3 linked regions of the Lytechinus pictus genome follow. Each later gene encodes a partner of the first gene's protein in a complex. Links are inferred from orthologs where the notes say so. Each region holds a gene or a part of one and is shown on either strand. Other genes may lie near its edges.

The links.
Region 2: the proteins of mitochondrial import inner membrane translocase subunit Tim10-B-like (region 1) and acylglycerol kinase, mitochondrial-like are in contact, whole or in part, in a cryo-EM structure (PDB 7CGP), measured with the Homo sapiens proteins. The link is inferred for Lytechinus pictus from reciprocal best matches to the Homo sapiens genes TIMM10 and AGK. Residues at the interface, in NP_036588.1 of Homo sapiens: Glu40, Glu42, Leu43, Ser44, Lys45, Gly46, Ser48, Arg53; in NP_060708.1 of Homo sapiens: Phe49, Gly50, Asn51, Gln52, Leu53, Ile54, Pro55, Pro56, Val60, Ser91, Gly92, Met93, Asp94, Val95.
Region 3: the proteins of mitochondrial import inner membrane translocase subunit Tim10-B-like (region 1) and mitochondrial import inner membrane translocase subunit Tim9-like are in contact, whole or in part, in a crystal structure (PDB 2BSK), measured with the Homo sapiens proteins. The link is inferred for Lytechinus pictus from reciprocal best matches to the Homo sapiens genes TIMM10 and TIMM9. Residues at the interface, in NP_036588.1 of Homo sapiens: Glu16, Met17, Asp20, Met21, Arg24, Ala28, Cys29, Lys32, Cys50, Arg53, Cys54, Ser56, Lys57, Tyr58, Asp60, Ile61, His62, Arg64, Met65, Gly66, Lys68, Leu69, Leu72; in NP_001291414.1 of Homo sapiens: Lys15, Leu18, Gly19, Tyr21, Asn22, Lys23, Thr25, Glu26, Cys28, Phe29, Leu30, Val33, Asp35, Phe36, Thr37, Thr38, Arg39, Glu40, Val41, Glu45, Thr46, Glu50, Leu53, Leu57.

What each region holds. Positions count from the first base shown.
Region 1 is NC_087246.1:16,544,049-16,551,155, forward strand, and holds the start of mitochondrial import inner membrane translocase subunit Tim10-B-like, read left to right. Parts: upstream 1-4,105; 5' UTR 4,106-4,448; coding exon 4,449-4,519; intron 4,520-5,177; coding exon 5,178-5,370; 3' UTR 5,371-7,107.
Region 2 is NW_026974140.1:1,665,063-1,672,754, reverse strand, and holds the start of acylglycerol kinase, mitochondrial-like, read left to right. Parts: upstream 1-4,676; 5' UTR 4,677-4,711; intron 4,712-5,359; 5' UTR 5,360-5,439; intron 5,440-7,692. UniProt on the Homo sapiens protein: Lipid kinase that can phosphorylate both monoacylglycerol and diacylglycerol to form lysophosphatidic acid (LPA) and phosphatidic acid (PA), respectively. Does not phosphorylate sphingosine. Phosphorylates ceramide.
Region 3 is NC_087251.1:18,036,399-18,043,876, forward strand, and holds the start of mitochondrial import inner membrane translocase subunit Tim9-like, read left to right. Parts: upstream 1-4,462; 5' UTR 4,463-4,620; coding exon 4,621-4,653; intron 4,654-5,152; coding exon 5,153-5,248; intron 5,249-6,424; coding exon 6,425-6,556; 3' UTR 6,557-7,478. UniProt on the Homo sapiens protein: Mitochondrial intermembrane chaperone that participates in the import and insertion of multi-pass transmembrane proteins into the mitochondrial inner membrane.

The sequences.
Region 1 (7,107 bases):
TTCTACTATCCCCTACCACCCTGAGACTTCCAAATGAAATGGATAGTAGTCATTAGTACCATACTTTTTTTTACTTTCTGTCAGTATAGATAAACAGGCAATGTCAGGGGGTTTTTTCACATGGGTAGGGCTAGCCATGGGAGATTTATTTAAAGGTCAAGTCCATCTCAGACAAAGGTTGATTTGAATCAAAAGAGACAAATCAAGCAAGCCTGTGCTGAAAATTTTATTAAAATAAGATGTAAAATAAGGAAGTTCTGACATTTTGAACTTTTGCTTATTTTTGTCAAAACAGTTCTATGCATAACTCAGTGATATGCAATTGAGACAGTTGATGTTGTTAACTCACAAATGCTTAATAACTTTTTTATTATATGAATTAAGCAACACTTTAAGTTTTCCAGATTGATAATAAGCATCCTCTTGATTGAACCATGAAAGATTAAGCCAGATGGCAGTTTCAAAAGTTTTGAGAGGACTTAAAATTTGTGTCACTTTGTAATGAGGAGAAAATTAAAATACTTTTTTTATATTCATATCATAAATTACAAAAGAAATAGTGATTGGATGATGTAAAAGGTTCCCTCATTTGCATAATGACCGGTATATGCAAATTACTGTCTTGTGAAATTACTCAAAATTTGTAAAATGTCATACTATACTTATTTTATTCTGATTTTGAATTTGATGAAATTTTCAGTATGAGTTCAGCAAGATTTTGTTTTTCTTTTTATTCAAATTGACTTGTTTGGGTGGACTTCCCCTTAGTTCCACATTTATGTGTTTGTATCCTCCAATTAAAGTCAAATCTAGTGAACCCCTTTTACTCCTGATTTTGGCTAGTCTCCTGTGCAAACCCCTCACTTGAGTTAAAGGTCTGAATGTGCAGCCTACATATTTACTGAAACAGCAAGTTTTATATATGCGAGTCTTCTGTGGAGACTCAATTGTTGATCAAAGCTTCAATTAGGGTCTGTGCCTGCAGACTAGATTAGGGCTATGTGGATTCTGAACATTTTTGTTGTGTTGTGGATTTTTCTTTATTGCCCCCTCTCAAAAATGAATACAACATGTGTTAATACATGTATATATGTTTTTTTCTAATTAAAACTTGCACAAGTTCACGAAAGCTAAGTGTTATGTTCATTTATCTGCATGGTTGCATGGGGTTTTGCATGATGTGCAAATTTCAATTTATTTTCAATTCAATATTCCAATAAAAAGCAATGCAGAGTATAGAATAGAGTGATAACACCATACAACAATGATAAGGCAAACAAAGGTATTAGAAAAATAGAATTTAAAGAAGATACATGTTCAATTGATTTGACTAAAAAGAATCGCCTCAACAAAAATCCCACTGACTGGCCTTTCGTTTCAGTTATATTAATTCCTTCGCATTCTATAAGGATATTTCAATGGGTACTAAACAATGGTACAGAAAAGCTGAGAATATTGGCAAACTAAATAAAAATGGTTTCAGTTCTGCCGTTTTGTCTACTGCCATTTTGTCCACTCACCATATGGTCTAATGTCATTTCGTCAGCCATCAGTTGGTCCACTATCCACATCGTCCAATTACCATTTTGTCCAATAGCCAGTTGGTCTAATAACCATTTTGTCTATTCTCATTTGGTCTAATTGCATTTTTTTGCCATTTGGTCCAATAGCCACTTTGTCCAATCTCATTAGGTCTATTACCATTTGGTCTAATAGCCAACTGGTCTAAAGGCAAATAATAATAATAATAATAATAATAATATAGAGTATTTCTAAAGCGCCAAATCCACATTGATTATGTGCTCAAGGCGCTGAAATATACTTGGTATATTATTATTACCCCGGCTGTAGCTGAGCGGCCATACAGGCGCTAAAGCATTCAAGGAATAAATCCCACCGGGTACCCATTCACCTCACCTGGGTCGAGTGCAGCACAAAGTGGATAAATTTCTTGCCGAAGGAAATTACGCCATGGCTGGGATTCGAACCCACGACCCTCTGTTTCAAAGTCCGAAGACAAATCCACTGGGCCACAACGCTCCACAATAAATAAATAAATAGTCTAATGACCACTTAGTCTACTTTCATTTTGTCTATTGTCCATTTGGCCTAATGCAGTTGGTCTACCATCACTTAGTCTAAACCCATTTTGTCTAAAAATCATTTGGTCTAATCACCAATAGGTTCAAATGCCATCTTGGCCAATCATTTCGTCCAACATTCATTTCATCTACAACCATAAATAGTCTTCTACTATAGCAGCCCTCTATGTGTACGGTGCCTGTGTATTGCTGACTCGCCTCCTGTAGCGCTCAGGATTTCTGATTAATACACACCTGTTTTTGTTATTTTGTTTTTGTATTTTTGGTTTTATTCACATGACTTCCTCTTATTTTACCTCTTTCCTTTTCTCCCCTCACCTACTTTTTTCTCCTCTTTTTTTTTCTTTTTGTGTGTGACTATTTGACTATGTATTGTTACTTTGATTTTGTTGTGCTTTGTGAACGGAAAATGAATAAATCTAAATCTAAATCTATTATAAATATTAATTACCATTCTTCTTATTATTATTACTATTATTTATTCATTTTTATTATTATTGTTATATGATGATGAATGATCGATGATTATCATTTTAATTGTTATATCCGACCAGAATTTTGAGTTACTTAGTGGGCTCATATACTGACAATAGAGCTTTTAAGGATTGTGTTAGTAAAAGGATATGTATCTCCTTAATCAAATAATTCAAGCACGAAGCGCGAGCTGAAAATTTTTGATATTCAGACCAGAAAAAAGGGGACATTTTAAGGACTGTTTTTAGGTTTTCATGAAGAGCAGACATATCTCACCAATCCGCGAATGCAGACCTAAGCACGACTGGAAATGTTTTCGGAGGCTATCACATTAAGTAGTCATGAAACAGAAGCATATGTCACTACATAAAATAGTAAAAGCTCGAAGTGCAAGGAAATATATTTGGTGTATATTGACTTGAAAACGGGATGTTTCAATACCATTTAGTGCCATTGAACAGGATGATCTATCTCATTAAACAGACAATGCGAGCACCAGGAGTGACGAACACATAGGCCCTAAGCAAATTGTGTTTCATACAGTTATGAAAAATATATCTTGTGTATAATATAATGCAATATATAATACAAATGTTAAATAATATAACATTAAAATAAAATACAATGATTTCTTCTTTCCCCACTACATTTCTCTTTCTTCCTCTTTTTCTCCTCCCCCTCCCCCGTTTTTTTTTTGCCAGCTGAAGGGGGTGGGGGCATGTGTTCATTCCATTCCTGATAGTAGTTATCATGATTTTTTAATTCATTTTTTATTTTCAATAATTTCAAGGTATATATATTTAAGTAATTTTGCCGCCTCTGCTCGGATAATGCAACGTATTTGTGTTTGACAAAATGGCTATTGGACCAATTAGCTATTAGACTAAATGGCTATTGGATGATTTGGGAATTGGAAGAAATTGGTTGTTAGACGAACTGATTACTAGTATCGGACCTAATGGTTGGTGGACAAAAAGATAATTAGACGAAATGGCAATTAAACGAATTGATAAGTAGACAATTTGAATATTGGACCAACTGATATTAGCCGACATGGCTATTGGACCAAATAAATGTTGGACGAACTGATTGATGGAAGAGTTGGCATTAGCCTAAATGGAATCAGACTAAATGGGTGGTAGACGAAATGGATATTCGACAAAATGACGACTGCTGGACGAAATGGGTGGTAGATGAAATATTGATTGACGAAATGGCATTTGACAAAATGAAGGTAGACCAGTGGGATGGCAGTAGACGAATTGGCAATTTAACATAAAAATATGTGTAGTAGCTAGCTCGACCCCTAGATAGCCCCCCCCCCCCCCCCCATAAATGCGTGAAAAGGGGCATATTAATCTTAAGTCATCACAGCTCCCATGCTTCTGTAGAAAAAAGTCTTTTATAAAAATAATATTCAACTATCCACTGTCATAAATTGAATTGAATTGAAATTGAATAAATCGCAGTTTGTTTTGAAATAAATGAGATGAGATGAGCAGCTCAGAGTAGCCTTTTTTCCAAATAATTACTTTTTTATTTGTGTAAGTGCGTTTACCATAAGAATTGCTTGGTCCACGTGCATACTAAACAAAATTGCAACGAATATTGAGAGGAGAATCGATCTTTGTATGTTTAATAGTTTCAATATCCGTCGATTATCATAATTTATACTAATTCGATTAATCATCTGAACCTAAACTGTAAAAAAATAAGGATATATTCATTTCGCCAGTGCCATCTTCGCTTCGGACTTTGCATCTGCTTGACGGACCGCTCGTCTCATTATCCGCCGCAACCTCGGCGTGGCAAAGACGGCACTGCGCTAGAGAGGAGACTTCACAATTCCTAGTCGAATAGACTTGAACAATCATGAATGAACAGCAGCAGCTTCAGCTCTTGGCTGAATTAGAAGTAGAAATGATGGCAGACATGTACAACAGGTTAGTACTGCTAATGTAAACATGGTAAAAGTAGTAAAAGTGCATGTGGCTGTTCTCCGAATCATATTTTCTTTGACATTATTATACTAGGCTGCTCCACATTATATAGAGTCTAATATTAATACTTTTAATACTAATAGTAATATATTAAAAATTCATCAACTCGAATACCAATTTTTGATAAATTGATTGTTGAAAAGTCTACCAATCCGTCTATGTAATCTTTTCTCATTTTGTAAAACGATGTTCTTGCGGGATGCAGCAAAAAATTATTATTTTTGACCGATAAATATCGCATGATAAAGTTACAATAGCCCCCTATCTCTTAAATTTTCTTGTATTTTAAGGAAGTAAGCAGAACTTTCAGAACTACCTTTTTCAATGTTTTTTCTCGATTAGTTATCTTGCGCACAGATATTTTTATGTGCCATTGTGATTGTCAACTTTACGCATCATAACTGTGATGTCAAACATGCTCATTCAAAGTTACAAAAAAATTACAAGAAAAGATACAAGAATGTCAGACTACGGATTTTATCTGAAGATACAAGATAAGACAATTTTCAGAATACGGCTCCAGATCCTATCGTCCTACATTTCATTATCTTATACCATAATTTCAACTAATTCTTAAAATGTATGTACTTTTCTTTTTTAGGATGACTGTTGCTTGTCAGAAGAAGTGTATTCCACCTACCTACAAAGAAGGTGACCTTTCTAAAGGTGAAGCTGTCTGCTTGGATCGCTGTGTTGCTAAGTATTTGGAGGTCCATGAGAGCATTGGTAAAAAATTGACTGAGAAGTCAGCCCAAGATGAGGCCATGATGAAACAAATGCAGGGACAGAGTTAGTGATGATCTCCAATCAGCCCAGGGCCCAGGTACATTAGAGATGCAATTCAATTGAATGTACAATTCATTGAATTGCTTTTAAAATGTTATAGGACCCAGATCAGATGTAACTTGTGGATGCAGTTATCTTGGCCACATATCAGCTTCATGAAAGCATTAACTATTAAGTCCAGAGGAGTTTGGTTTTCAGCAGTGGTCAAGGCAGGATATCGCCTGTTTGTAAGATCATATTTGAGAAGTTTAATTTGTAACTTGTCCAACGGGCTGAATGAAGGACAAGAGAATGATAACTGAGCCATGCAAGCCTCACCCACATTGAATTTGATTTTTTTTTTTTAATTAGAAAATTATGATAATACTCTGCTTTAGATTAAGATGCAACTTCTGTGACACAGAATCTGGTCAGTTTGTATATATGACTAGCATTCTCTTGCCTTGCATTTTTGCATCATGTTTGCAAAATTGCTATAGGTTTAGCAACGATGCAATATTTAGGTGCAATCACTCTGCAAGTGTTGCAATGATGTTATTATCCAGCGTGTTCTGTGCAGACTGCAGAGCACAGGATTGCATGGTAGATTTGAGAGGACAATATATTGACACTTTTGCTAAATGTCACAGAAGGTAAATCGCAGATTTAAAGCCATTGATATTGGCGGAATTGCGGGGGTAACAAAACTCTGTGTATCTAGAAAGGCATGTTCTGGAGAATTAAAAAGAAAATTATTCAGTTTCATTTGAGCTTATTCAGCTTTGCCAAAATTTCAAATTTTGTATTGTAGTCCATAGTGCATACAATTCCAAACTTCTGATAGTAAGCATTTTTTAATACAAGGGTGAGGCTTCAAAGTGAAAATCAATACTGTATTTTTCAAACATATGTTTCTAAAGATGGATAGGATAAAGTGACCATTTTCAATAAAATGAAAAAGTATCCTAAAACACCTGAGGTGAAAGATTTGATTCAGCATATAATATGAATAGGTTAAATTAACAATCAATATGTTGGGTTGTAATGGGTCCCGAGCCAAAAATCCTTGATTTTGGTATCAATAACCTTTCATGCATGGATCAAGTATCGGGATTAAATCTTTGTTAAGAGATTTTGATATGAGAGTTAACTTCATAAGTGTTAAACAAATAGGGCTACATGTATGTACAGTGGTGTACATCTGCCATCTCGTCAATATTTAATTTGACAAAGAATTAGTTTTTGGAAACTTGGGTAATTTTCACTACACTTTTGTAAGATTGGTATGTATATTTGTCTTTTACCAAAGCTTTAATTATACCATGACTGTTTACATATCATCAGTGATACTAATCACTATAAAAGAATGATCATCTGAATGTACTTGACTGACTGGTATAGGCACACTTGGCATGTTAAGAAAATTGATGTTTGTTGAAATTTTATTCTTGCCAAAGTTGCCATTGATACTCTTAACAATTTACGAGTGAGCAACTACCATGGTGACAGCCAATATTCCATGGTTGGATAGCAAAATTATCACAAAAGTAACTTTGATGCAACTACCAAAAGATAAAAGCAGTTACGGGCAGATTCATGATTTCTTAAAATGTGGAGAGGGGCACAGGCTGTAGGTCAAATCAATATTCTACCAAATTTATGAAGAGACCCCCCCCCCCTCAAAAAAATAATAAATAAATAAAAGGGGGAGGGACTGGTCTCGCTCATCTCATAAAAGGGCGTGCACAACATACATTTTTAAAAGA
Region 2 (7,692 bases), on another chromosome or scaffold:
TTTTACACTTAAATTTCCGTTCCAAGGCATAGCATTTTTGTCTTATTGAGAAAAAGAAGAAAGAAAGCCGCTCCAAAGCATAGCATTTTCTTCTTATCGAGAAAAAAGAAGAAAGAAATCCGCTCCAAAGCTTTGCATATTTTCGTTACGCCGTTCCGGTCGCATTGATCTGCTACAATGAGCTGCAATTTTGGTGAAAAGCGGCCGCAGAGCGCTGTCCGACCATTGCCTCTGCGCGAGCGCACCCGGCGGAGGCCGCGCTAGCTGCATCATGCACGCATGCCTGTCTGTTCCATAGGGATGCATCATAGGAATGCATACGCACTCACACGCTGGCGATCCGTTCCAAGGTCCCCCGTTTTCACAAACATTTGTAGTTCCGAAGCCCGTTCCGAGGACCCTCCTTTTTACAATAAGCCCGCTCCAAGGCCCCCGTTTTTTGTCTCGCCCGCGGCACACCCCTACCACTTTTTTGGTCGAGTGCCCCCCCCCCCCCCCCGGGGAAATCACACTATCAGCGAATAGTCAGCAAAGCAAATAAGACTGCAGCTCTGATACCAAAGGGAAAGCTTACAAAGCTCTTGTTCGTCCACACCTGGAGTATGCGTCTGCTGTTACTGATCCCTACCAGGCTAGATACATCCATATGTTAGATAAAGTTCAGAGAAGAGCCGCTCGTTTTGTGATCAACGACTACAGTCGTAAGTCCAGTGTTTCCAGGATGCTAAAACAATTAGAGTGGGAAAGTCTTGTTGACAGCCGACTCAATGCCAGATTGAGCCAGTTCTACTTAATTCATAAGGGGGAATCTCCAGTAACGTCAACCAAACTCCACCTTAAAACTCTAGCCGTCCAAGTCGACGCTTCACACCAGATGCCTACAATATCATCAAATCCAGAACTGATAGGCACCTGTACTCATTCCTGCCCAGAACCATACGGGACTGGAACGACCTTCCCTTAGCCATTACATCAATGCAATCGCTTGACAAATTTAAGGCTGCTCTAAACTAATCAATTTCGCATCTGCACCCGACCACAGCATCATGGAACTTTCGTTCTGTTGCTGGGTACCCGTGATGATGATGAAGTGACGTATCATCGGCATACAATATAAAATGTGGTTCATGGCAAGAGTTACATTAACAATGTCTATTAAAAATAATAAAGGCTCAAGAATAGAACCTAGGGGCCTACCTGTTTTAATTTCTCCATGAAAGACGAATGGGTATTATTATAGACAGTAAATGTAATAAATATGACTTGAACCAATTAAAAGACACTCCTCTTATACCATTATATTGCAACTTTATCATGAGGAAGAGAATCAAAAGTCTTGGAGAGATCTTTAAAAATTCCCGTAACCTTAATACCGGCATTGAGCTCACTAATTATTTTATCATGAATTTCAATAAGTGCCATTTCCTATAGTAATTTTGACGGAAGCCGTATTGACTATCATATAATACATTGTGACATAATAAAAAATTGTATAGTCTGTTAAAAACCAATTTCTTTAAGATATTTGAGAAACATGGCAAAATTGATATTGGACAGTAGATGATGAATAGATTAGGATTCTCCTTTTTAAAAACGGGAACAACTTTTGATATTTTCAGTTTTGAAGGCGCAATTCCAGTTTAATACAAGAGAGGAATTAAAGATATGTAAGAGTGGGTCTATAATGAAAGGTAAAACATTCTTCACAACACATGGATCAATGTCATCAAATACGGTACTCTTAATATTAGATAGCGATTTACTGATATCTAATATTTCTTTTTTTGTAATCGGTTTAAAAAACATGAGAAAGTGGGTCACTCATATACATATCAAACAAATTAAAATGATCGTCATTGGGATCATTGTTTTTGCTCGATCTGATATTGACAAAATATTCATTTAAATTTTCTGCAATTTCACGAAGTCACTAATGTTACAATCATTGTGTAAAAAAGACTTTTGATTATCAGAATTATTTTTTTGTTTTCCCAAAATGTTATGGATAAGTTTCCACATTTTATTAGAATTTGTTTTCTAGGATTCAAACTTATCAAAATGATATTTTCTTTTCAACTGCCGGAGATTCAGGGTAACAGCATTTCGAATCTTTTTATATTTATCGTGATTAGCTTTCATAGAGTTTAGGTACAATTTATAACATTTATTTTTCTTTCTTGTAAGCTTCATCATATTGAGGGGAATCCGTGGCTTTCTATTCTGATAACGTTTACCAATATACTTTGTACTGATTAGCAGATACTTTATTACCTTGTATAACAAACATCTGCCAGATGTTTGTTATACAAGGTAATAAAGTTTAATGAGTCATACGCCATCTCCGGGTGGCTTTGTAGGTATACTTCTGACCAGTCCATGGTTGAAAGATCAGCACATAAATGATTAATGCTGCAGGGGATATCTTCCTGTAGGTGTGTACATGTACTTTTCATTGCTCATATATTACAATATCTGACAAATGTTACAAATGGAAGATAGGAAAGTGGTTGGGAATATCTGGTAAAAAGGCACCGACAAAGGGGAACGACTAAAAACATTTATGAATATATTGTCAATAATAGTTGATGATCTACTATTGGCTCGTTTAGGTCTGTCTTTAATGGAATAAAACCCCGATGAAATCACATGGTTCAAAAAATGAAGAAATAGAGGGCTTCCAGATTTTTTTAACAAATCGATGTTAAAGTTGCCCATTAAGAAGAAACATTATTTATATAACTATTATTCATCAGTCTATCAAAATATGAAGTAAATGCAGAAATACTCGATTTCGGTTTGCGATAAATTATCCCAATCATGATACTCTCCCCTGATTTGAACTCTATTTCAATGTGTAAATCATTGACACCTTCATAGTGCTCTGAAAAATCACACAATTTTTAATTCATATCCTCTCTAATAAATAGACCAACTCCACCACGGCCATTTAGTCGGTCACAATGTAGGAACTTCAATTGAAAAGGGGAAATGAGAGTTTGAGTTGATCCATGTTTCCGATATCCCAATCACTGAAAATCTAAATCTGATATTTGAGAGAAAACTGTGAATGTAATCGAAATTTTGAAATTAACTTCTTGCATTGAAATGGATCATGCTCAAGTGTCTTGTTACAGAGTTTTTGATAATTTCATTGAATTTGGAGGTCAAGTGATACTCACATTGGTAGAGTCAGTATATTCATCCTGGCCATTTTCCACAAGTTGTCGGTCTATATTATCTGTATCGACAGATTCTCTTGAAAAACGGAATAAAGATTCAAATTCCTAGTCATCAATTTCTGCAAATGGGAGAAGGTAAGTATCGTTTAAATTTACAGATGAGTTATTGATGGTTTCATCTTTATTCAAACTTGAGTCTATTATTACATCATTCGACATCATTAACAAGATGTAACAGGACAAGAACACAAAATCTTCACAAAACACAAATATGTGAAAAACAATTGACAAAAGGTAAAATACTATTTCAATCACTATCTGTTATTTATCTTTTAGAGTCAGATAATAAACCGACTGATATAAACCAATCTGAACTGGAATGCAACAGCATTGATTTTTCTCTCAGGTTACAGATTCTCCAAGTCTTTTTTTCTGTGATTGGTTTTACGAATTGACTTTCCATTCGTGGTAGTTAACAGGACTACGATTCGTCCATCAGAGGACCAAGTTCCATTGACCTTTGAGTGTTTCTTCGCAGCCCACAGAAGTTCCTTGTTTGTAGTCCTATTGCCTCCTCTATCCCCATACCAGTACCTTTCAGTTTCCTCCGTGCACGCAGGACACTGTTTCGGATTGGGTATGAACAAAACTTGGCAATAATGGCACGCGGCTTCTTGTTCTTCTGATTGATGCCTGCAGATCCAGAGTCTGAAGTTGGTTTATCACTCCTTGGAGCAGCACAATGCGATCTATTGAGATCGTTTACGGTTAGATGGACACCAAGACGCTCAGCAGCTGTTTGACAAATAGCTTCATCCATATTTTCTAATCCATTCTCCTTCACACCATAAAACTTTAGACAATTGCGGCAAGAATATTGTTAAAATGAGATATGATATTTACGGAATATTGGATGGCATTGAGTGGATGCGAAGAAATATTGTTCTTCAGCAAGTAACAATATTTCATCCCACGAAAATTGGTCATCCAATATTATTATTATTATTTAGAAATCCCCACAAAGCCAAACAAAGTAATGAAGCAAAACCATCATTTATGGCATTCCTGTAAATCATGAGCATGGGCGCCTGATTATTGTAATTTAAAAATCTTTAATAAAATAAAGATGCGCTAGCGTATAATGCAAGCGCATTTGAATTCAATAAATCGATGCTCCTTTACCACACCTGTCAACTAATACACAATACAATTTCATTGTGACATAACAATAGGTTCACGCGCACAATCATTTATTAACCAATGATAAGCTTGTGGGCGGGGCAAAACATTAATTTTCTCCAATATTTTCAATATTGGATGGTTTCCATAGGCATGCACGTTAAAAATCACTTAATATTTTGTCTCTTTAAAACAACCTCGCAAGACATCAAAAACATCTGCGCCTCTAAAACCCTACATCCAAATAATATTGTGAGTTATTCCTCTTTGTTGCCTTTATCATTCTGTTTGTTTGTTTTTATTCAATCTTTAGGGCAAATCTGTTGAGAACAGAGTACTGCAAACAAGCACAGGTAGCTATGCATTGAATATTATGATCTATTATAAATATTATTCACAGTCAGTTGCAACATTTGATAGTTTCATGACAGAACTAATCAACTAGTGTACTTTGTATGTATTGTGAGCTTTAAAGGTTTGCATGGTGGTAAGACTGAATGGAGAGTTTTTTTATAACACCATGTAGGTTGGTCCTTAAAAGGACTGCTGGTTTATCTTACTGACAGTAGCTCTGAAAAGAACTGTTATCCAGGACATTTCGAGCAGATAAGCGTTGCTTGTCGGCTATGTACATTGACAAAATAACTGAATGAATTTCAAATGAACTCTAAAAAGGGGTACATGTATACATGTAAAAATCAGTGTATGACTTTAGGGGATTGGGTGGTCAGTCAGTTGGTTGGTCTGTTACAGTACATATTTTACATTTCAAACCATTTTCTTAGTTTTCACCAAATGCTCATGAGACTGATACATGTACAAATTGGTCACAAAACATTTTTTTCTTTTGATGGGTTGGGTACTCGCTCTATTGCCACAAAAAGACAGATGGCAATAAACTGAGCTAAAATGCTACATTCTCGCTGGGGTATTATTATTTTCTTCAGTGGTATTTCGCATTGACATTAATCACATGATATCTTGATGTTCTGTGATTATAGGTGTATGGACAGCAACTGGAAAAGACTTTTAGCAAACCTGTCAAAGCAACTGTCTTTCTAAATCCAGCTGCTAGAAAAGGGTAAATATTATTTGTTATACAATCACTTTATAAATACTTGTATTTATCTGAGATGGTTCAACCAGCTCTCATTGGGTTTGTTTTTCACTGTTCGCTAGGTCATTTTATTTCGATTATTTTTCTGATATATACCCATACTTGGTGGCACATGTTGCCAAGATAATGGTCTGCATTGTCAAATCATGGTTCATTTCTTTTTAATATACTAAATACCTATTAAAGACCCTTCATTTTTGTCTCACCTGCATAGCAGAGTGAGACTATAGGCGCCGCTTTTCCGACGGCGGCGGCGACGGCGGCGTCAACACCAAATCTTAACCTGAGGTTAAGTTTTTGAAATGACAGCATAACTTAGAAAGTATATGGACCTAGTTCATGAAACTTGGCCATAAGGTTAATCAAGTATTACTGAACATCCTGCCTGAGTTTCATGTCACATGACCAAGGTCAAAGGTCATTTAGGGTCAATGAACTTAGACCATGTTGGGGGAATCAACATCAAAATCTTAACCTAAGGTTAAGTTTTTGAAATGTCATCATAACTTAGAAAATATATGGACCTAGTTCATGAAACTTATACATAAGGTTAATCAAGTATCACTGAACATCCTGCATGAGTTTCACATCACATGACCAAGGTCAAAGGTCATTTAGGGTCAATGAACTTTGGCCGAATTGGGGGTATCTGTTGAATTACCATCATAACTTTGAAAGTTTATGGATCTGATTCATGAAACTTGGACATAATAGTAATCAAGTATTACTGAACATCCTGTGCAAGTTTCAGGTCACATGATCAAGGTCAAAGGTCATTTAGGGTCAATGAACTTTGGCCAAATTGGGGTATTTGTTGAATTACAGCCATAAATTTGAAAGTGTGTTGGTCTAGTTCATAAAACTTGGACATAATAGTAATCAAGTATCACTGAACATCCTGTGCGAGTTTCAGGTCACATGATCAAGGTCAAACAGGCGCGTAGCCAGGGGGGGCGGTGGGGGCGGTCGCCCCCCCCAAAACGTCCCAAAAAAGAAAAAAAGGAAGGGGAAAAAGAGAGGAGAAAAGGAAAGCGAAGGGAGGAAGGGGAAGAGAGGTTGCTTTGTGGGTTTTTCTTTTCATTCTTTATTTTTCTCTCAAAAGAATTAGTACCTTAACGAAACTCCTTCACTCTCGCTCTAAATTTATATATATATGAATTTTGCTTCCGCGCTTCGCGCGGTCAAATGACAATATTGCAGTTCTCCTTTCCCTCACCCTTTCTTTAACCCTGTCTTTCCACCTCGGTTATAGGGCTAGTGCGTTCCTTGCTACTTAAAGTTAAAATGTATACATTAGGGCATGGAATTAGAGTAAGATTAGGCCGAATTATATGAAGTTGTCTTTTTTTCCTTCAAATTGATCACGCAACATTCCGCACTTCTGGTCGGGTCGGCTCCCGGCGGGTAAAATCTTTATATCAAATGTTGCCGTCACCCCCATATAGGCAACTTCTCCCGCTTTAGCTTGTTAATAAACATTCATAATTTTGGGGTAAACAGGTTCCTAATTGAAAAAGAGGAAGGTATAAAATTCGTGTCGTATTAAATAAAAAAGTACAATATTTTTATCAAATTCGATGAAACTTCATGTCATGTCTCAGTTTGAAATTTTGAAAGACACTTAAGTTTCTTAATTGTTCAAATGCGAGCGCTTCAGGATGAGTCAAAGAAATTATTATTTTTATAATATAATTTCAATAAATCACAGAAGCTTCAACTTTTTGCGCTCTATTTTCCTTGTAATGAAGTTCAATAATCTTAGAAAATCAATAGAGCCGATGGGGGTATTGGAGATATCTGCATTTGACGTAACGTCCGCCCTTAGAAATTTCAGAGTTTCATTGCTGTGCGCGTGGAGGAATGTCTTCCTCCCGGCACCCTTCTTCTTCTCTGTTTTGCGAGTTAAAAATATGCACTGTCGCTAAATTGTTTGTAATCAAACTTTCCACGGGAATTCAATATACATGATATAACTAACTTGATACCCTTTTCCCGGGACCCTTTTCTTAAAAAACAATTGATAAAACGCTTTAGCTTCCGCGCTTCGCGCGGGGTAATTGTTATTTTAATTTCCTCCATTTATCCCTTTTAGTGCGTTCGAACATATCACAATCACTTTTCAAATCAATGTTCAAAATCAGAATATAGTCAACTGAATTGGAGCTGACGACAAGAGAGACGGCTCCTTTTCATTTTAATTTATGAAACACCGAAAAC
Region 3 (7,478 bases), on another chromosome or scaffold:
GGAAGAAATAAAGGAAGGAAGAAAGAAAAAAAAAAGAAGAAAGAAAGAAAGAGAGAGAGAATGGCTGCGGGGAAGAGAAAGAAAGAAAGAAAGAAGGGAAAGAAGGAAGGAAAGAAAAAAGAAAGAAAGAAAAAAAACTGAGGGGAAGAGAAAGAAAGGAAAGAAAGGAACGAATAAAGAAAGAAAAAGGGTAAAAGGAAAGAAAGGAAAAGGTAAAGGATGGATGGAAGGAAGAGAAAGGGAAAGAAAGAAAACAAGAGAAAGGAAAGAAAAAAGAAAGGAAGAAAGAAAAGGTAAAAGGATAGATTGAAGGAAGGAAAAAAAGAAAGAAAAGAAAGATAGATAGAATGAAAGACAGAAAGAAATGAAGGAAGGAATGAAGGAAAGAGATGAAGGAAGGCAGAAAGAAAAAAAAATAAGGAAGAAAGAAAAGGATGGATGGAAAATAAAAGAAAGATCAAAAGAACGAAAGACAGAAATAAAGAAAATCAGGAAGAAAGAAAATGAAAGGAAAAAATAGAGAAAAAAACTGAGGGGAAGAGAAAGAAAGGAAAGAAAGAAAGGAACAAATAAAAAAAGAAAAAAGGTAAAAGGAAAGAAAGGAAGAAAAGGTAAAGGATGGATGGAAGGAAGGAAAAGGGAAAGAAAAAAACGAGAGAAAGGAACTTGAGAATGAAAAGCAGAGCTTCCAAGTCTCCCGGATCCTGCGGGAGAATACTGGATTGCGATCCAATCTCCCGTTTTCCCGACCCCATGCCAAAATCTCCCGGATAATCAGGATTTTTAGCTGTTAAATTATAAAATTCATACAAACGACTGTTTAACAAGTCTAGCATGTTCAACTTCCTAGCTTATACGGCAGCTTATATGATACGCGCCGTATAAGCTAAAACAACAACAACAACTAACACCCACGTGGAACCTCCTTATCACATTTTCATTTTACCCAGTAAATTCTACCAGTTTTTGTATAATCGTACATTGATTTCCCATGTAAATTAAGATAATTTTACTGAACGACTGGTGAAGTAGTCTAACAAGCCATTTTATTTCCAGGTTCTGCAATGTGTGTGATGAAAACTCTTCAGCGGTACTCCATGCACATGGCCCCCGATGCGCCCTGGAGTGGCTCCAGCCGGCCGCGCTGCGCCAGGAAGCTCCGAGAAGGAAAGTTCACGAGCACTGCGAGGCATTTTTCGTAAGCTTGCTTGCGCCTTATTCGAGCTGAAACTGTGGATCAACGATGGGATTAACAAGTGGATTACTTTTACACCTCGACTTTCAGTTTCAGGAATAATTTAATTGACAATCCTGAAGAATTAGAAGCAAAGTGGAGATTTTTTCGCCTACTTTCACTTGGGTTGATCGGATTCGAACATTTTCTCTTTCGTGAGTGAGCTAGCCTGGCGCTGGCTGGCTGAGCTGTGCGAAGCACGCCCCGTTAGTCCGGGGGCAGGGGGAGTTTATTCAGCTGATCGGGTACATAAGGTTTGATGGTCCCAACATGTTGGCATGATATCAGTGGTCAAGAAAATGTGTTGCTGCCGGGTCATATCCTGTACGGAAGGCCCAGAGGACCCCATTTTTGTCGGCCATCTTTGATTTTTCATGAAAATCAATTATTTTCATATTTTTGCACAAACAATGGAAAAATATTAAATGAATACGCATTTCACAATGATTTAGACAGTAGAAATCGATTGCAATCATTTTTTGGACAGTCCGGTTAAAGGGGAAGTTCACCCTGAAGAAAACTTTGTTGTAAAAATAGCAGAAAAAATAGTAAAAAATATTGGTGAAGGTTTGACGAAAATCCGTTAAAGAGTAAGAAAGTTATTAGAGTTCAAAGTTTTGGATTTGTGACGTCATAAACGAGCAGCTGCCCCATGTGTTATGTAATATAAAATGCATGAATTTTGAATTTTGTATGGTTCCTGATGACTTAATTTTTTTTCTATTCATGATCGGGTGTGAAATGATTTGTCTATTGATATACAAAAGGTACAGTGAAAACCATTTTCAATTTTCTGAGAAAATGACATTTCATTGATTTTTTACCATTCGCTATGTAGGAATGCTGCTCGCACATGACGTCACAAATCAAATAATTGAAATTCTAATAACTTTTTAATTATTTGATGAATTTTTCTCAAACCTTCGGCAATATTTTTGATTATTTTTTCTGCTATTTTTACAATAAACTTTTTGTCAGAGTGAACTTCCCCTTTAATATTTTTTGAAAAATATAAGAATTTATGCCAAAATTTCCAGGTTTTTAGGCAAAAATTTGCATGTGCATTGATATCTTTCCGTTCGTCATTAATATCAACAATTAATGAAAAATATCAGCATTCAACACGAAAGAGAATATATTAACGAGAATATTGATATGCTTCATGACAATATTAATGTCTTAATTTGGTTAGATATAGGGAAAATACTTCCAAATGTATTCCCCGATATTGCGATTAAATGACACCAAAAAGCAACCTCCGTCACTAGTCACACGAGTGATACCGACTTCAATGCGCTCGCTATAGCTTTCCTTTCAAAAGAGTACAATAGACTCAATCGGTCTTGTCTTGCCTTTGTTGGTGTGACTAGCACGCATGAATGCATGTCATGAGCGTCGCTATAGAAAAATGTATATTACATATATGGGTATGAGGGAAAAAGGCGTTTTTTACATATTTAAGCAGCTTTTATGTTAATGAAACCTCTTGGAAAAGTTAGAGGAGGGATTGCTCTGCAGGTCGCAAGCAATTACATTCGGACACCTTAAAACATAGTCCCGCAAGAGCCTGTCGAAGGTACCCCACCCTTATCCAAAGCTTGACTATTAAAATATCTTGCCCTTTGGAGCCCTCAATGTGGCAAAATGATGCTACGGTTAGGTATAAAAACAACTTTTATTTTCTTGAAATCACTTGCAGACGAAAGAGTAGGCTTTTCTCCATCAGCTACATTTAAATAAGTGAGGGCACAACAATGCCTACCCTCTCAGGGGGCTGCCCCAAGTCACCCACCCCCTTTTTCGTATTTTGCCCATTTCTTGGAAAATTTGTCAATTTGGAGCCACATTGATAAAAAAGTGTTTCTACTATGTAGTGAAACCACTTTTATCGTTTTAAACCACTTGGAGACAAAAGAATAGACTTTTTTCTATCTGCTACATATAAAGAATTACTGGAAATTCGAAGCCACCCCTGTCAGTGGGATGCCTAAAACACCTTCCCCTTTTTCCATATTTTTCAAATTTATGGAAAAATCTGAAAAGTTGGAGCCCCCACTGAGGCTAAAGGGTGTTTCTGCTAAAAAGCAATCCATTTAATTGTCTTAAAACCACATGGAGACGAAAGATTTGCCTTTCCTCTATCAGTTACATATAAAGAGGTGCTGGTACAGCAAAGCCTACCCCCGTCAGGGGCTCCTGAAATTACCCACCCCTACAGTAAGGAAGAAAGTTCAGACTATCCAGTCATAAATAAAGAAGAAAATTTATCAATGATTTCCTTGGCTAAAAAAAAATAGTTACGAAAGAAACCATGTTTATCAACATACACACAAGTGCATATTTGGGACTGTCAAACAATGTATTTCAGTGTGTGCAATACTAGACGATCATTCGAAACCTGATCTTTTTGAAGCATAACAGAAGTGAAAATTTATCCTTATACTGCTTACAAATGATAGAGCTACCCCAATTTTTAGGAAATGTGGACATTACAAGAGTTTTCATTGGTAAGAAATGTGAAGTTTGACAGTTCTGTGGGAGATTTCTTCCAGAGCAAACTTCGTTCGTGCAGCACCGTAGAAACCATGGGCTGCGTGGACTAGGCGCTAGCTAGCTAGGTATTCTAGACTGCCATTGATTCTGTGTGTGTGTGTACGTGTCTGAGCTGTGTGTTTATTGCAGAAAATGGCGCAAATTTTGCAATTCGAATCATGACTTATAAACTTTTTTGAAAGAAATTAATGATATGGCTTTTTTTCTCTCTTTTTCTTTTCTATATTTTTGATGGTGAAATATGGGGAATCTTTATAAAATATAATTTCTATATGAGAATTTTGCTTGCCCGATTCGGGCAATTAGTTTTTATCTGTGCTTCAAAACACTTGCCCGACTCTAACTTTTACTTGCCCCGGGCAATCGGGCAAGCGCTTATGTCGCACCCTGCATTGGCAAAAGTTGACCCATATCATTTATTCTGAATACATTTGCATTTTTATGATATATGTATGCAAATGCAATGTTTTTATTTATGCATGCAAGGTTGACTCATATTTTGTATATCACTATTTAATGGAGATTTTTGATAGAGTATATGTTTGTTTCAGAACAGTGTATGTTAGCTATATAATTCAGGATATTAGAATTTACTCTCCCAGAGTTATCATGAATGATGTACATACAAGACAGAATGCTTCTGTTCTGTTCGATGTTTGTTATTATCATTATTACAGTACCTGTACAAGTATCAACTTTTCATCTCCTTGCAGATCTGTAAATTTGCAGAAGATTGACATTGAGAAGCAAGTAGTTGACCCGCAGATACAATCCTTTCCTATGAGAGATTTATTCCCTGCAGCCAAGTAGCAATAAAAAAACACTTCAAAATCATGGCAGTGCAACCTCAAATGGATGCAAAGCAGGTAGAGTACATGGAATTTATGTTGATAAAACATTAAGCTAAGGAAATTAGAAAGTCAATTCCTGACCTTTTTATGTATGATTTTTTGTTGCAATGAAGTAATCACGTACATTGTGGTCTATTCTAACATTTGGATGTGGACCAATCTGAGTTTGAGATACCATTCAATGTTTTCTCACCTTATATGCAATATATCATGTTTAAAAAAATGCATGTTCAAGATAGTAGTTTCCTTATTTCTCTTTACAGTGTAGAGAAATAAAACAGATTTTGAAATCAACAACACATTTACATTTAAACAGAGGTGGTTAGGCATGCCTACCAACCTTACAATGTAGAGGATGGGAAATAGGTGTTTGAAGTATGGAAAACAAGGCAGATAATTTGTCACAAAAGGACAGACTGAATTGTCTAGAATAGAGGAAAGTTACTTCCTTGTTTACAATTATATATAGAGGTGAAAGTGTTAAGGCACTCTTTTCCTTTTCTTTACATCGCAGTTGAAGGAATTTCTCCACTCCTACAACAAGCTGACAGAAGCATGCTTCCTGGATTGCATCAATGACTTCACTAATAGAAAGCTACATGATAATGAGGTTAGTTGACTGTTCATGTTTGAAGTTTTCATAGGCCTCTTTTTCACCAAATATATTTCAAGATATTTTTTGTATTATTCATTTTGAGAGATTAAGAATTCAAGTAACTTTGCTTAATTCGATTCTTTTGGGATCACAGAAATCTGTTTAACTTATGAGAAATTTGATCAAAGAAGAGGTTCATATAACTTGTGTTTTGCATAGGCTAGTCTGAAAATTGCTTTAAATTTAAATTTTATATCCCAAAGAATTTCAAACCTGATAATATCACTGGCGCCCATCTTACGAAGAATTTCAATAGTTCTGAATAAAAACCCAAACTGGATTCGATATCAAAATTCTGTAATTATGCGATCGAATTTAGATATATCTCAATTTTAAGTTTGTATTAAAATCTATCACATCTTTTTGTGTGATTGGACCCTGTCCAATTTTCTATTTTCAAAATAAGTTTATGTTTATGTATGATCTTATGGCTTGTATTTTTAAGTCAGGTTTAACTAAGACCATGGTCTAACTCTGCTAAAATTATGGATAGCCTAAAAAAATTCCTTACATTGTGTGTTTCTTATGTTTATTGTGCTCTTTCTTAACTTGTGAATGATGAAAAAAGCTATCTTATCTATCCTTCTGCAATGGTAAAGAATGATTTGAGAGAAAAATGAACTGATGCATTGAAATTCTATTAGAGATTTATGCCACTATTGGCTATCCATAGTTAAACCGCATTTTTAAACCAGAGTTTAAATTAAACCCAACTTTAGAATACGGGCCTATGAATTTATGCTCATTAGCAAATTATATTTGATATCTACAATGACATCATAAAGTATACATGTATACTCCCTTTAGGAAGTCAAAGGAAATGATTGATATTCTATGAATGATGAGAGATAGTGCCAAGTGATTTAGAGTAAATAGAAACTTGATGATTTTTACAAATGTTTAAAGGAAAATAATCAAAGCTATCATAAGGATGAGATGCCTGTTCAAATGCAGACCTCATAAATCAAGACAATTCATAATTAGAAAATATGACGAAACTGATTCTGTGGCTTGTACATGGCAAAATTCCTAAAACTGTCTTAAAAAATTGAATATTAATAAAACATGCAGAGTGGAATAAAAAAAAGTATAATATTCTAAATTTTGTTTTCTTTCACCTCAACATTGCAGAAACACTGTTCATTTAACTGCATGGAGAAGTACCTTAAGATGACGCAGAGAGTTTCCTTGAGATTTCAAGAGTACCAGGTCCAACAGAATGAAGGTCTTATAGCCCAACAAGCAAAGTTTGGTGGTAGATAGTAAAGGATATAAACTATAAAATACAAATCAAATTGACTGTTGCCAGCATTTAATAGTCAAATCCAGCTTCGGCCAGATTTTAGCGGCCTCATTACAAACTGTTTCAAGTGGCTTTGTGACTCTGAACTACTGGCCTCAGCTCTGAAATTAACGAGTATTGTTGAATATAATGTAACTATTAGAGGACTACCGACACCATTCAATGCAACCAGCTTGGATACTCCTGTCAGTGTTGCTTCTTTGTGGTGCTTTTTTAGGATCATCTTTGGGGTGTTGCAAGAAACTTGATTGCAACCGATTGCAAATTTCAATTGCGAATTTGTGATGAACAGATCACTGAACTATATCGACTCGATTTATAGACTTTTCTGCAAGAGAAGACGAACAAAACAATAAAAAATTTACAAACATTTCCAAGACAATTTATGATTGATTTGGGGACCAAAAATTTATTTAGTAATCGATTGCAAATTTCTTGCAATGCCCCCTTAGTTTGAACTGCATTAATACAAATATACTCATCCCATTGGTCTGATGGTTGCTCAGATTTTACCTGGCCATACATGACTATGTACATGTAGCTACCATATTTGATCTTTCTTTGGTACAAAGATGAAGGGGGTATTCTGATCATTCAATTTATTTGTAAAGTTGGAACACAAATCCAAAAGGTGTTAACCACTCCACAATCATACCTCAACTGCAAAGAATTCTTTTACTCCCCTAGTGCATACATGAATCTTTCATTCTTATCCCGGTTGCAAATGAAGCCCTTTCTATATTTTGGCTGTTTTTTGTGCTGAAAAGGAGTCCCTTTTGCATCACTTAAAATTTTGTATATTTAATTCATTTCAAAATAAATATGGTTTCTTTAACCCATTCTGAATATAGCTACAATAATGCTTATGTGATATATCACTAA